Macaca fascicularis: one gene and its partners. The protein of the gene in region 1 purifies or fractionates together with the protein of each later gene. This does not show direct contact. Links are inferred from orthologs where the notes say so. Each region holds a gene or a part of one and is shown on either strand. Other genes may lie near its edges.

Region 1 (3,643 bases):
TATATGTTTTATATAAAATATTCCAAAAGGAATGTTTCATAAGTTAACCTTCCAGAATTCTAATTTCAGATTTTCTGAGTGATAATCTTTCTTTTCTACTCATAAAAAAAAAAAAAAAAAACTCCGTAGGTAGCAAAGTACAGTGTTTCCCAGCACTACTTCTTTTAGTGACACATAAAACCTTAAGTTTCTGTGAAATTGTACCTTGTACTATGAAATGGGTATCAATCGAGAGGCTTTGTATTCAAAAGCTCAGTCCTTGAAATTAATATGGCTTACTGGTAATGAAGAAAATCTGAAGGAAAAACAAGATGCATGGACAAAAATAACTCCTTTTACTGATTTTTTATATTTGATTGCAGGTCACCTGGATTCTTCAGGACTTCAGGAAGTGCATTTAGCTGGGATGTAAGTTCTGTTGCTAAATGAACCCCATGCAAAAGCTTTTTAGCACTGGTCATAGAGATTTTATCCTGTGCGGACTCTGCAGAGTGCAAAACCTTTCATATTGGGTATAAGTGGGCTTTGAGGCCTAGTTCCTTACCTTGAACAGTTTCTAAGGTTTCCAGATCTAAATAGTGTTGTGAAAATGAAGGCTATTCATTTTAACTGTCATAATCAGAAGTATCTATAAGGAAATGAAGGAAAATGGTATACTACACTTATATAGGCTTTTATTTGAATGTGAAAAGTGCTGTATCTTAGTAATTCAAAGTACAGAGTGGCCAGGCGCGGTGGCTTACATCTGTAGTAATCCCAGCACTTTGGTAGGCCAAGGCAGGCGGATCAGATGAGGTCAGGAGTTCAAGACCAGCCTGCCCATCATGCAGAAACCCCGTCTCTATTAAAAATACAAAAATTAGCCGGGTGGGGTGGCACATGCCTGTAATCGCAGCTACTTGGGAGGTTGAGGTAGGAGAATTGCTTGAGCCCGGGAGGCGGAGGTTGCAGTGAGCAGAGACCGCACCACTGCCCTCCAGCCTGGGCGACAGAGCGAGACTGCGTGTTGAAAAGAAAAAAGAAAGTACAGAGTGTAGGCTCTGGAATCAGTGTCTGGATTCCTGGCTTACTACTTCATTCACCAGTTGTGACTCTGCTTTAGACCTTAATTTTTTTTATTTGTAACATGGAGATAATAATAGCACTTGTCATAAAGTAGCTATTGTAAGGATTAAATAAACTGTGTATCTAACACATACCAAGCATTTTATTTATGTATTTATTTTTATTTTTGAGATGGAGTCTGGCTCTGTTGCCAAGGATTGAGTGCAGTGGCGCCATCTTGACTCACTGCAACCTCTGCCTCCCTGGGTTCAAGCGATTTAAGCAATTCTCCTGCCTCAGCTTCCTGAGTAGCTGGGATTACAGGCATCCACCACCATGCCTGGCTAATGTTTGTATTTTTAGTAGAGATGAGGCTTCACCATGTTGGCCAGGCTGCTCTTGAACTCCTGACCTCAAGTGATCAGCAACCCCCTCGGCCTCCCAAAGTGCTGGGATTACAGATGGGAGTCACCTGGCCCGGCCTGAATTGCTTTAAATGCTCTAACCCAGATAGATAATGAAATCCACAGAGGGAGGATAGAAATTTATATATAGATATGTTTTTTGTTTGTTTTGTTTTGTTTTGTTTTTGGAGATGGAGTCTCACTCTGTTGCCAGAATGGAGTGCAGTGGCCTGATCTCAGCTCACTGCAACCTCCGCCGCCCAGGTTCAAGCGATTCTCTCACTTCAGCCTCCCGAGTAGCTGGGACTACAAGCACACGCCACGATGCCCAGCTAATTTTTGTATTTTTATTTTATTTTTTTATTTATTTTTATTTTTTTTTGAGACAGAGTCTCGCTCTGCCGCCCAGGCTGGAGTGCAGTGGCGTGATCTTGGCTCATGCAAGCTCCGCCTCCCGGGTTCATGCCATTCTCCTGCCTCAGCCTCCCGAGTAGCTGGGACTACAGGCGCCCGCCACCTCGCCCGGCTAGTTTTTTTGTATTTTTTAGTAGAGACGGGGTTTCACCGTGTCAGCCAGGATGGTCTCGATCTCCTGACCTCGTGATCCGCCCGTCTCGGCCTCCCAAAGTGCTGGGATTACAGGCTTGAGCCACCGCGCCCCGCCAATTTTTGTATTTTTAATAGAGACGGGGTTTCACCATGTTGGTCAGGATTGTCTCGATCTCTTGACCTCGTGATCTGCCCGCCTCGGCCTCCCAAAGTGCTGGGATTACAAGCATGAGCCCCCACGCCGGGCTTTTTTTTTTTTTTCTTCCAGACGGAGTTTTGCTCTTGTTGCCCAGGCTTGAGTGCAGTGGTGCGATCTCGGTTCACCACAACCTCCCCCTCCCGGATTCAAGAGATTCTCCTGCCTCAGGCTCCCGAGTAGCTGAGATTACAGGTATGCGCCACCACGCCCAGCTAATTTTGTATTTTCAGTAGAGAGACGGGTTTCTCTGTGTTGGTCAGGCTGGTCGCGAACTCCCAACCTCAGGTGATCCGCCCGCCTCAGCCTCCCAAAGTGCTGGGATTACAGGCGTGAGCCACCCCGCCCGGCCAGAAATTAAATTTTTTTAAAAAATTAGCCCTGGCCGGCACGGTGGCTCACGCCTGTAATCCCAGCACTTTGGGAGGCTGAGGCGGGCGGATCACAAGGTCAGGAGATTGAGACCATCCTGGCTAACATGGTGAAACCCCGTCTCTACTAAAAATACAAAAAATTAGCTGGGCGTGGTGGCGGGCGCCTGTAGTCCCAGCTACTCAGGAGGCTGAGGCAGGAGAATGGCGTGAACCTGGGAGGCGGCGCTTGCAGTGAGCTGAGATCCTGCCACTGCACTCCAGCCTGGGTGACAGAACCAGACTGTCTCAAAAAAAAAAAAAAAAAATTAGCCCCAATACACTGTGCTGGAAAATTAGTAAATTGTATAAAACTCGTTCATCTTTGGTACATGTTTATTTATATGGTTATACAGGCAAAATGAGGGTCTTATCCCCAAGATATCACTTGAGTCTTCATATTTACCACAGAGAATACCCTATGTATTGTTGTTGGAAGAGACATATCAACTGGGAATAGGGCTCCTAGAATGAAATTTTAAAAATGTTGGGATGCACCAAATCCACTGAAGAATAATCAAACAGTATTTGGGGCTAACCTGACAGGCAGTTTGTTTTAATCTGCAGGAATCATCACCAGCACCTAATGAAATGTAGCCCAGTGAGTAGCCTCTCTTTTTTGGGTTTGGGTTTGCTTTTCAGGTGGGAGACAGAGGGTTTCCATTGCACCTGTGACTTGATGCGGGACGTTCTCAGCAAACTCTTTTTTAGGCACAGCTTCTCTGTAGCACTCCGAATGGTTTGGACCGTGGCCATAGAAAGAGAGATGCAATGTGTAGCTTATCTGCAAATAAAGAAAATGTGAGTGTTTAATGGAAACCTAGATATATTGGCAGTTTTATTTTTTTGAGTGAAGAAACTTGTTGTTATCATAGTGAGACGTAGAACTGTTTATACCTCGTATGCTAGACAAGCAAAACTGTATTACTATAGGGGAGAAAAATTGTTTGTTTTTGTTTTTTCTTATTAAAGTTTGGCCCTAGGACAGACACCCAGCTCCAAGTTCTCCACAGTAGGTCATCATTATTTCTCATGTTCAG
Region 2 (3,643 bases), on another chromosome or scaffold:
GTGAGCTGATATTGAGAGAAAATATGGTTTGCATAAGGAAACTGAGGCTGGACTCAGTCACATTAACAGTGACTATCAGTCACAAGGGACATACGCTCAAAGCTCAGCATTTATCTGCTGGATGCTGGGACACAGTAGGTGCTCAATAAATGTGGGTGTGTGCCAAGGTAACACGACCCCCCTTAGTCCTTGGAGAAGCCTTGAAGGGGCACTTTCACCAACTGGCTTCAGAGACTTGGGACACAGGGCTGGGGGAGACACATGGCCCGCTGGAAAGGCATGGGACGTGGGGGTTACTCACGGTGGGGTCCATCTTGCTGATGGCGTCTTGCAGCATCTGCACGTCCTTTACATCGAAGCACTTCTGGAGTTCCTGGGGGTATAGAAGGGCTGGGGTCAGGGGCTGGGTCCCTGTGCCCTGGGGGGTCCCGCTCAGGGTCCTCCTGCCGCCCGCCTGGGCTGGGGAGCCGCACCTCAGGGAGGGACTCGTAGACCTCGACAGGGTCCAGGCCGCCGGGGCCAAGCCGCTTCTTGCGCTCCTCCTCCTCATACTCCTTCATGGCCTTCTCAATGCGCAGCTTGGCACGGCCCCGCACACGCTCCTTGAAGGCTTCTAGCTCGTCGTTGAAGCCCTCCATGTACTGGCGATCGGCTGTCTATGGGGGTCGGGCAGTGCTCACTAGACTTGGCCCAGTGCTCAGGAGGGACTGGGGGCCCAGGACCCTCCAGCCACAGCTCCTCAGAGGTGCCCCAGGGCTCCCTAAGTCTGTTCCTGACTTACATAAAGGGCTTCCCAAGGCCTGGGCTCCCCTGCCAGGGACCTCATCTGGCATTTGCTAAAGACCACCTCCTTGGGAGCCCTGCTCTACTGCAGATCCGAGACACTCGTGTCCTCAGTGTCCCTGCATGGGCACCTCTAACTCAACACGGCCACCTCCCAGCCTGCCTTGTCCTTGGTCTCCCCAGTCTTGGTAAGGGTACCCCTGTTCCTCCAGGTGCGCAAGTTAAAAACCCGAGAGGCTGGCAGGCGCCTGTAATGCCAGCTACTTGGGAGGCTGAGGCATGAGAGTTGCTTGAACCCAGGAGGCAGGGGTTGTAGTGAGCTGAGATCACGCCATTGCACTCCAGCCTTGGTGATAGCAAGACTGGGTCTCAAAAACAAAAAAAAGCCCAGAGCCCTAGAGGCACCCTCACCTCTGTCCTTTACCCACATATCCACATGGGGACCTCCAGCACATCCTAGTGCTCCCATTTTTTTTTGTAATGCAGTTTTGCTCTGTCACCCAGGCTGGAGTGCAGTGGAACACCACAGCTCACAAATTCCTGAGCTCAAGTGGTCCTCCTGCTTCAGCCTCCCAAAGACTTGGACTATAGGACTCAGTCACCAAGCCTGGCCTGACCTCCACTTTTAAAGTCTGGCAGCATCCGCCCACTTCTCTCCCCCTCCTTGGCCCCGCCCTCTCCTGATCTAGGATTCGGTGATTGGAGGGGCTTGAGTCCCAGTGGACAGGAGTCGGCCTTACCCAGAGCGCTGTGGGCTGGTTCCCTGGGGAGGGGGCCTCCAGCCACCTGGCAGCTCAGGGGACCCTACCTTAATCTTAGTGAAGAACTGCCGGAAGCAGGCCCGGGGGTCCACCTTCAGGCTCTTGGCCAGCTCCAGGATAAACTGCATGACGATTGTCTGGTGGGCCACCTGCTCCATGAGTGCACATTTCTGCCAGGGAGAACAGGCACAGTGTTACCAAGTGGCGGCCTCAGGGCAGCACCTTTTCACAGCCCTGGGGAAAGCTCCACTCACCTCCTCCACCTCTAGGTCAATGCACCAGATGACCAGGTAATTGGCCGTCTCCTCGCACACCAGGTGGACATTGTCTGACAGGTACTTTTGGCTGTCATCCCAGCGGCGGAGCATGCCTGTGGGAAGATGCTGGCAAGGTGCTGGAGGGCCCTGGAGGCAAAGGGCCTGCCCCGACCTTGCCCCCCATAACCTCACACGCCCCACTCACCAAAGTGCTTGATCTGTTTCTCGTACTTTTCCACGAAAGTCTTGTGTTTCTGCTCCCTCACCTCCTCTGAGTCCTCCTCTGTCTTCTCGGGCTTGGTGTTGACCATGCTCTGTGGTAGGGTGAGAGGGGGAGTGGGCTGGGGCAAGGCTGCGGAGCGCCTCGAGTGCGGCCGGGCGGGCCGTGGCCGCAGCGCCCATCCCATCCACGGCGGAGGTGGTGACGAAGCCATGAGCATCAAGGTGGCGGGAGCGTGGGCATGGGCCTTGGGGCAGATCAGAGGAGGGGACCGGTGGGGTGTTTCATCCGCCCGGCCCTCCAAGCCTGTCCCCCCTCCCACGTGGCCCCCGTCCGTCCCTCAGCTCTCTGCCCCACACCACACTCTTCAACTACACCGCCGCGGTCCTCCCCTGACCAGGCATTGGGTGCGCATGCGTCCTGGCTGCATACTCGCTGGCTGCGCAAGTGCACTGCCCGCCCCGCCCGCCCCGCACACCTTGCTGAAGCCGTCTTTGCTGAGCGTGTCCACGTTCCAGGGCATGCTCTTCTCCTTCTTGCGCATCTCTTCCAGCTTCTGCTCCCAGCTCCGCTCCTCTTTGCGCAGCTGCTGTGCCTCGGCCTGCAGCCGCTCCAGCTCTGCCTTGCCGCCCTCAGCCACCTCCAGCTCCTTCAGCTTCCTCTGGCATTCGGCCACCTTGCGCTTGCACTCGCGGCAGCCCCTGTCCAGTTCCTCCTTCTCCTTCTGGAACTGCTCCATGCGCTCCACCCGGGCCTGCGGGCAGGGGCGGCCTATCAACTTTGGGGAGCGGCCTGTCCCTTACCCCCAGCCCCATACCCAATCCCCGCACCAGAGATGGCCCCGGGAAAAAGTATGCCTCCACCTCCCGTGCCCTGGTCTCCCAGCTTCCGCCCCTGCCCCCACAGGTGCCGACGCACACCCAAGTGGGGTCCGGTCCCTCCGTCCTCCGCTCAGAACCCTGGCGGCTCCCATCTCACTCAGAGCAGAGTCCAGGTTGTCACCACAGCCTACGTAGGCCCTACACAATCTGCCCCAGCACCTCCCCTGCTAACTCTTCCTTCCAGCCACACTGGCCCCTCACTTTTCTCACCTTTTCTTGAGACCATTTTTTTTTCTTTTAGAAAAAAAACAAAAAAACAGGGTCTCACTCTGTCGCCCAGGTCAGAGTGCAGTGGCCCAATGACGACTTACTGAAGCCTCGACCTCCCTGGGCTCAGGCAATCCTCCCACCTCGCCTCCCGAGTAGCTGGGACTACAGGTGTGCACCACCACGCCCAGCTAATTTTTGTATTTGCAGTAAAGATGGGGTTTCGCCATGTTGCCCAGACGGGTCTTGAAGTCCTGGGTTCAAGCGACTCTTCCGCCTTGGCCTCCCAAAGTGCTGGGACCACAGGCAGGAGCCACTCTGCTCTGCAGAGCCTGCTTTTTTCTTGAACTTCAAGGCCTTCACACTGGCTGTTCCAACTACTTGGAATGATTTTCCCTCAGATCCCCCCACAGCTGACTCTATGGCACCCGCACCATCTGGGCTCCATGTTGCCTTAGCGAGGACCCCTTCCCTAACCACCTTCCTATTGATGGCAACCTCCCGCTGCCCCCGTCTGGAATTCCCTGCCTCAAC
Region 3 (4,281 bases), on another chromosome or scaffold:
GGGAAAGACGCAACTCACGTTGTCGATCACGACAGGCTGGTTGGCGATCACATCGTAGGACTCCATGGCAGAGGAATCTCTCCTTCTGGGGAAGGAACTGCCTAGCCGGGTCCGCCGCTAGCGCCACTGACACGCATGCGCAGTCTAGCCGCCGGCTCAGGGAGGCGAGGGAGCTGCCCTACCTCACCTCTGAAAAACTACAATCCCCAGCATGCTTTGCGCCTGGGTTAGCGCTCTAGGTTGCTTTGTTGCCCGCCTAATTTAAGACTGGGAGTCGTATTTCCGATGCACAGTACCCTGGGATTTGTGGTCTCCCTAGATTAAACAGCCAGAGACACAGGTTGATGGTCATGTTGCATGCCTGGATCTGTAGTCCCTTTGAAGGAGTTCGCAGTGCATACTGAGGTGTATAGTCTTCTTGAGTACTTGTCTGTAGTTCGGTTTGGATTGGTCGTAATTCATGGATGTTTGGATTTTGCAGATCAGTCCTGCCACTCCCCACAACGTTCCCTTAGACAATATAAGGTTCTCATGCTTTTATTTGGGTCTATAAGACTAATAAACATCTCCTAGCACCTCACACTCTAACGAAAAGGAAATGTTAACACACGTACGCGACAGGACATATTCCTACAACATAGGAAAACAATTTAAATTGCATAAAATTAGCTTTAAGGAAAAAACCTGTACATTGTTGTTGCTTTTTGGGTTTTCTTTTTTTCTGCATAGGTGTAAACTTTATAACAGGCTAACATTGATCCGAGGATTGGCAATTGGAACTACTGTTATAGGTAATCTTTTGGTCATTAAAACATCATCTAAGGGTTTCAGGAACTGCTGTAGTATCTCTTTAATTTTCATGAGGAGCTAGAATTGGCATTGACGGTTGAGAAAGTGGAGGTGAAGAGAGGTTATGTGTCACTGCTTTCAAATGAGCCCAGTGCATTTTTTTCTTTGGATTATGTTCTTCCCCAGCCCCCTTCAAATTGCAGGAACCTTTTTGTCAATAGCCCTAGAAAATATTAGATTTATTATAATCTATTAATATTAACGCCCCATGGATTAATGAATCAATCCATTGTCAGATTTATGTTTAAATCCTAGTTAGCAGCGCGTCAGCAAAACAGTAACAAATCCTTTGTTGGCGCACTTCTTGGTGCTTTCGTGGGACCCTAGCACCTCAGAGGGTGCTCAGCATCTCTAAACTTGGGTTCCTCCTAACACTAGGGGGAGACCAAGAGCCTTGGGACACTCCCAACACGGGGGGGGGAGGGGCCTATTGTCAAGTCACGCCGTCTCTGCCTGTGACTAGCACAGACACTAGCCAATGGGTGCTTGGATAGGGCGCGCCGGCGCCCCGCCTTCCTGAGCGCCCCGCCGCCCCGAGGCACCCTCTGGCAGACTCCGCGGCGGCGACAGCCTGGGCGGACAGTGCGCCGTGCGCAGGCGCGGAGCTGGACCTCGCTGCAGCCCCCATCGCCTCGGGGAGTCTCACCCACCGAGTCCGCCCGCTGGCCCGTCAGTGCTCTCCCCCTCGTTTGCCCTCTCCAGTTCTCCCAGGGCCTGCCCTACGCGCCCCGATGGCGGAGCTGCGGCCTAGCGGCGCCCCCGGCCCCACCGCACCCCCGGCCCCTGGCCCGACTGCCCCTCCAGCCTTCGCTTCGCTCTTTCCCCCGGGACTGCACGCCATCTACGGAGAGTGCCGCCGCCTTTACCCTGACCAGCCGAACCCGCTCCAGGTTACCGCTATCGTCAAGTACTGGTATGCTCTGGGCCGCGGGGAGACGGACAGGCGCGGGCTGGGAAGGGTTAAAGCGCCGAGGGCGAAGTAATTTGTGGGAGGCTGGGAGGAGGGGTAGAGAACGGTTAAAGCACTTGGAAGGAGGGCTTCCTGCTGCGAGGGAAGGAGTTAAGGCTCAAGTTGGGAATGGGGACAAAGGGGTTAACGGAGCCTGTGGGTAGTGAAGGGTTAACCGGGTTTAGGAGAATAGAGTGAGGACTAGGGGTGTGTGTAGGAGCAGAGAGGGGAACGGCATGAGCGAGGGAACTGTAAACGTGGTGAAAAGAGGGGGCGCCTGTAGGGGGTCATTAGTGGGCGAGGGGAAGCCAAGCGGGGGCGGCAGAAGTGGGATGGGAGAGGCGAGGCGGAGCCTGGGGAGCATTTGAGAGGGTTTTGGAGGAGCGAGGCCGGAGAAGCTCAGAGGGCAAGAGACTGCATAGGATGGCGGGCGGGGGGCGGTTCGGGGGGCCCGGGGCTCTCCTGTTGGAGGTAGGAGGGCCAAAGATGAGGGCCTGGTGCTTGTGGAGAGATGAGGAGGAGGTCTCCTTTTGATACCTTCCCGATGAACTCAGACGTCGTATCAGGGTAAAGCTTTTGCTTTTGAAGTTTGACGGAGCAGCTCTTCCTGATAAACTTCTTGCTTACTCTGCACTGTTCTCTTTCTCCGTGCAGAGCTTCCTCCTAGCTCTGCAGCGGCTTTGCTTTAGGACATTAGGTAGAGAGAACCATGGTTTGGTTTAGGATTGAAAGGGACCACAGCTTCCCACCTCCATTTGGAAATAAATGATGGAGACCCTGGGACTCCAGCAGGGAGGAATTGTGAAGTGGGACATAAAGAGGAGCTTCTTGACCATGGCCTGCAGTTTCTCCGGGGAGCTGAGAGTAACCCTCAAGTAGCTTTAGGGTAGGAATGGTCTTTTCTAATTTCCCGTTCCTGTTTGCAACCTGTTTCTTCCTGCAGCATTTGGGCAAAACAGATGTTCTGGGGACTCTGGAAAAGAACCTGTCCTCATGGTCTTGCTGGACCAAAAACAGATACTGGTTGAAACTGTCCAGGACTACATTCATGCAGGCATTGTGTTAGATGATCTTCAGTGAGTCCTGAAAGATGTTCGGCAGCTGCTTGGGGTGTAGCCAAAGGGTAGACCTGAAGGGGCAAGTGGACATCTTTGCTGGTTACCTCTCCTTTTAGAACTGAGTCTCCCTCTTGGTGAAAACCTGTTACTTCCCCTGGACATGGATTTCAGTAGGCTGTGCAGGGCTGAGGCCAGCTGCCTGTGTCAACGGGAGGATGCCAAGAGGCCAACAGCGTGGAGGGCCTGGGGACCAGCCACCTGCTGTCTAGGAAGGGTTGTAGGGAACAGCCTCCTCTGTTGGAGTAGCCAGGAGGAGGTAGAACTGGTGTCACAGTCCTCTCTGGCTGGCAAACAGTTCTCTGGTTGAGAGGAGTTGTTGAAGAGTGCTTCTGAGTGGAAAGCAGCTCTTGCTAGCTTAATGACCCATTCTCATTGTGCCTTTATATTTAACTATTTGTTGTGATGAACTTGTTGTCATGTGTCATGAGAAAGGTAGGCCTGGGCTGGGCACGGTGGCTCATGCCTATATTCCCACCACTTTGGGAGGCCTTGAGGATCCTTTGAGGCCAGGAGTTCGAGAGCAGTTTAGGCAACATAGCCAGACCTTGTCTCTGTTATTTGAAAAACAAAAAAGGAAGTGGGCCTGGCTCTGCCATGCTGTTTGTTCAGGCCTCATTTGAGTGTGAGGAGAAATCCCTACATAGATTCAGGCAACTATTTTTATGTCACACAAGTAGCCATAAAGGATAGAATTGCATGTTAAAGGTATGATAGTGTTTGCAAAGGACTAAGGGCAATTTTTTTTTCCCTTCCTGCTGCAAGCTTGTTAACAGCCGTATCTTCAGAGATGGGCCAACATGTGATAATGAAGAAAAGGGATTGTACAGCACTTTGTGAAAGCCTTGCCTAGATGCAGAAAAATATAAAGAGAAACAGCACAGTGACTGGTACTTTCTCTTTTTTGTTTGAGACAGAGTTTTGTTCTGTCACCCAGGCTGGAATGCAGTAGCATGATCTTGGCTCACTGCAACCTCTGTCTCCTGGTTTCAAGCGATTCTCATGCCTCAGCCTCCCAAGTAGCTGGTATTACAGGCGCACACCACCATGCCCAGCTAATTTTTGTATTTTTAGTACAGGCAGGGTTTCACCATATTGGCCAGGCTGGTCTCAAACTCCTGACCTTGAGTGATCCACCCACCTCGGCCTCCCAAAGTGCTGGGATTACAGGCATGAGTCAGTGCGCCCAGCCGTCAATGACTGGTACTTTCTAAGATGCGGAGGGGTTTGCAAAAATAAGATCCTGAAATTCATTTATATTCCTCACATTTGGGATCCCACGAGGTTTCTAGCAGGATGACTGACCCAGACTGTCTGGGTCTGTCTGTGGCCCAGGGTAGCTTGGGATTCATTTTGCAATAGCAGGGT

What was found.
Region 2: the proteins of CDC25C (region 1) and CDC37 purify together in Homo sapiens (affinity purification with mass spectrometry; 3 studies listed by BioGRID and IntAct, with this or other methods). This does not show direct contact. The link is inferred for Macaca fascicularis from reciprocal best matches to the Homo sapiens genes CDC25C and CDC37.
Region 3: the proteins of CDC25C (region 1) and SUFU purify together in Homo sapiens (affinity purification with mass spectrometry; 4 studies listed by BioGRID and IntAct, counting the BioPlex papers as one, with this or other methods). This does not show direct contact. The link is inferred for Macaca fascicularis from reciprocal best matches to the Homo sapiens genes CDC25C and SUFU.

Annotation. Positions count from the first base shown.
Region 1 is NC_088380.1:144,825,079-144,828,721, reverse strand, and holds part of CDC25C (M-phase inducer phosphatase 3), read left to right. Parts: intron 1-362; coding exon 363-408; intron 409-3,170; coding exon 3,171-3,204; intron 3,205-3,245; exon of another isoform or gene 3,246-3,314; coding exon 3,315-3,404; intron 3,405-3,643. UniProt on the Homo sapiens protein: Functions as a dosage-dependent inducer in mitotic control. Tyrosine protein phosphatase required for progression of the cell cycle. When phosphorylated, highly effective in activating G2 cells into prophase.
Region 2 is NC_088393.1:10,958,339-10,961,981, forward strand, and holds part of CDC37 (hsp90 co-chaperone Cdc37), read right to left. Parts: intron 2,776-3,643; coding exon 2,500-2,775; intron 2,269-2,499; coding exon 2,007-2,268; intron 1,915-2,006; coding exon 1,799-1,914; intron 1,715-1,798; coding exon 1,592-1,714; intron 657-1,591; coding exon 474-656; intron 374-473; coding exon 302-373; intron 1-301. UniProt on the Homo sapiens protein: Co-chaperone that binds to numerous kinases and promotes their interaction with the Hsp90 complex, resulting in stabilization and promotion of their activity. Inhibits HSP90AA1 ATPase activity.
Region 3 is NC_088383.1:111,512,320-111,516,600, forward strand, and holds the start of SUFU (suppressor of fused homolog), read left to right. Parts: upstream 1-1,389; 5' UTR 1,390-1,580; coding exon 1,581-1,762; intron 1,763-4,281. Other genes in the region: ACTR1A (alpha-centractin), read right to left, coding at 19-66. UniProt on the Homo sapiens protein: Negative regulator in the hedgehog/smoothened signaling pathway. Down-regulates GLI1-mediated transactivation of target genes. Down-regulates GLI2-mediated transactivation of target genes. Part of a corepressor complex that acts on DNA-bound GLI1.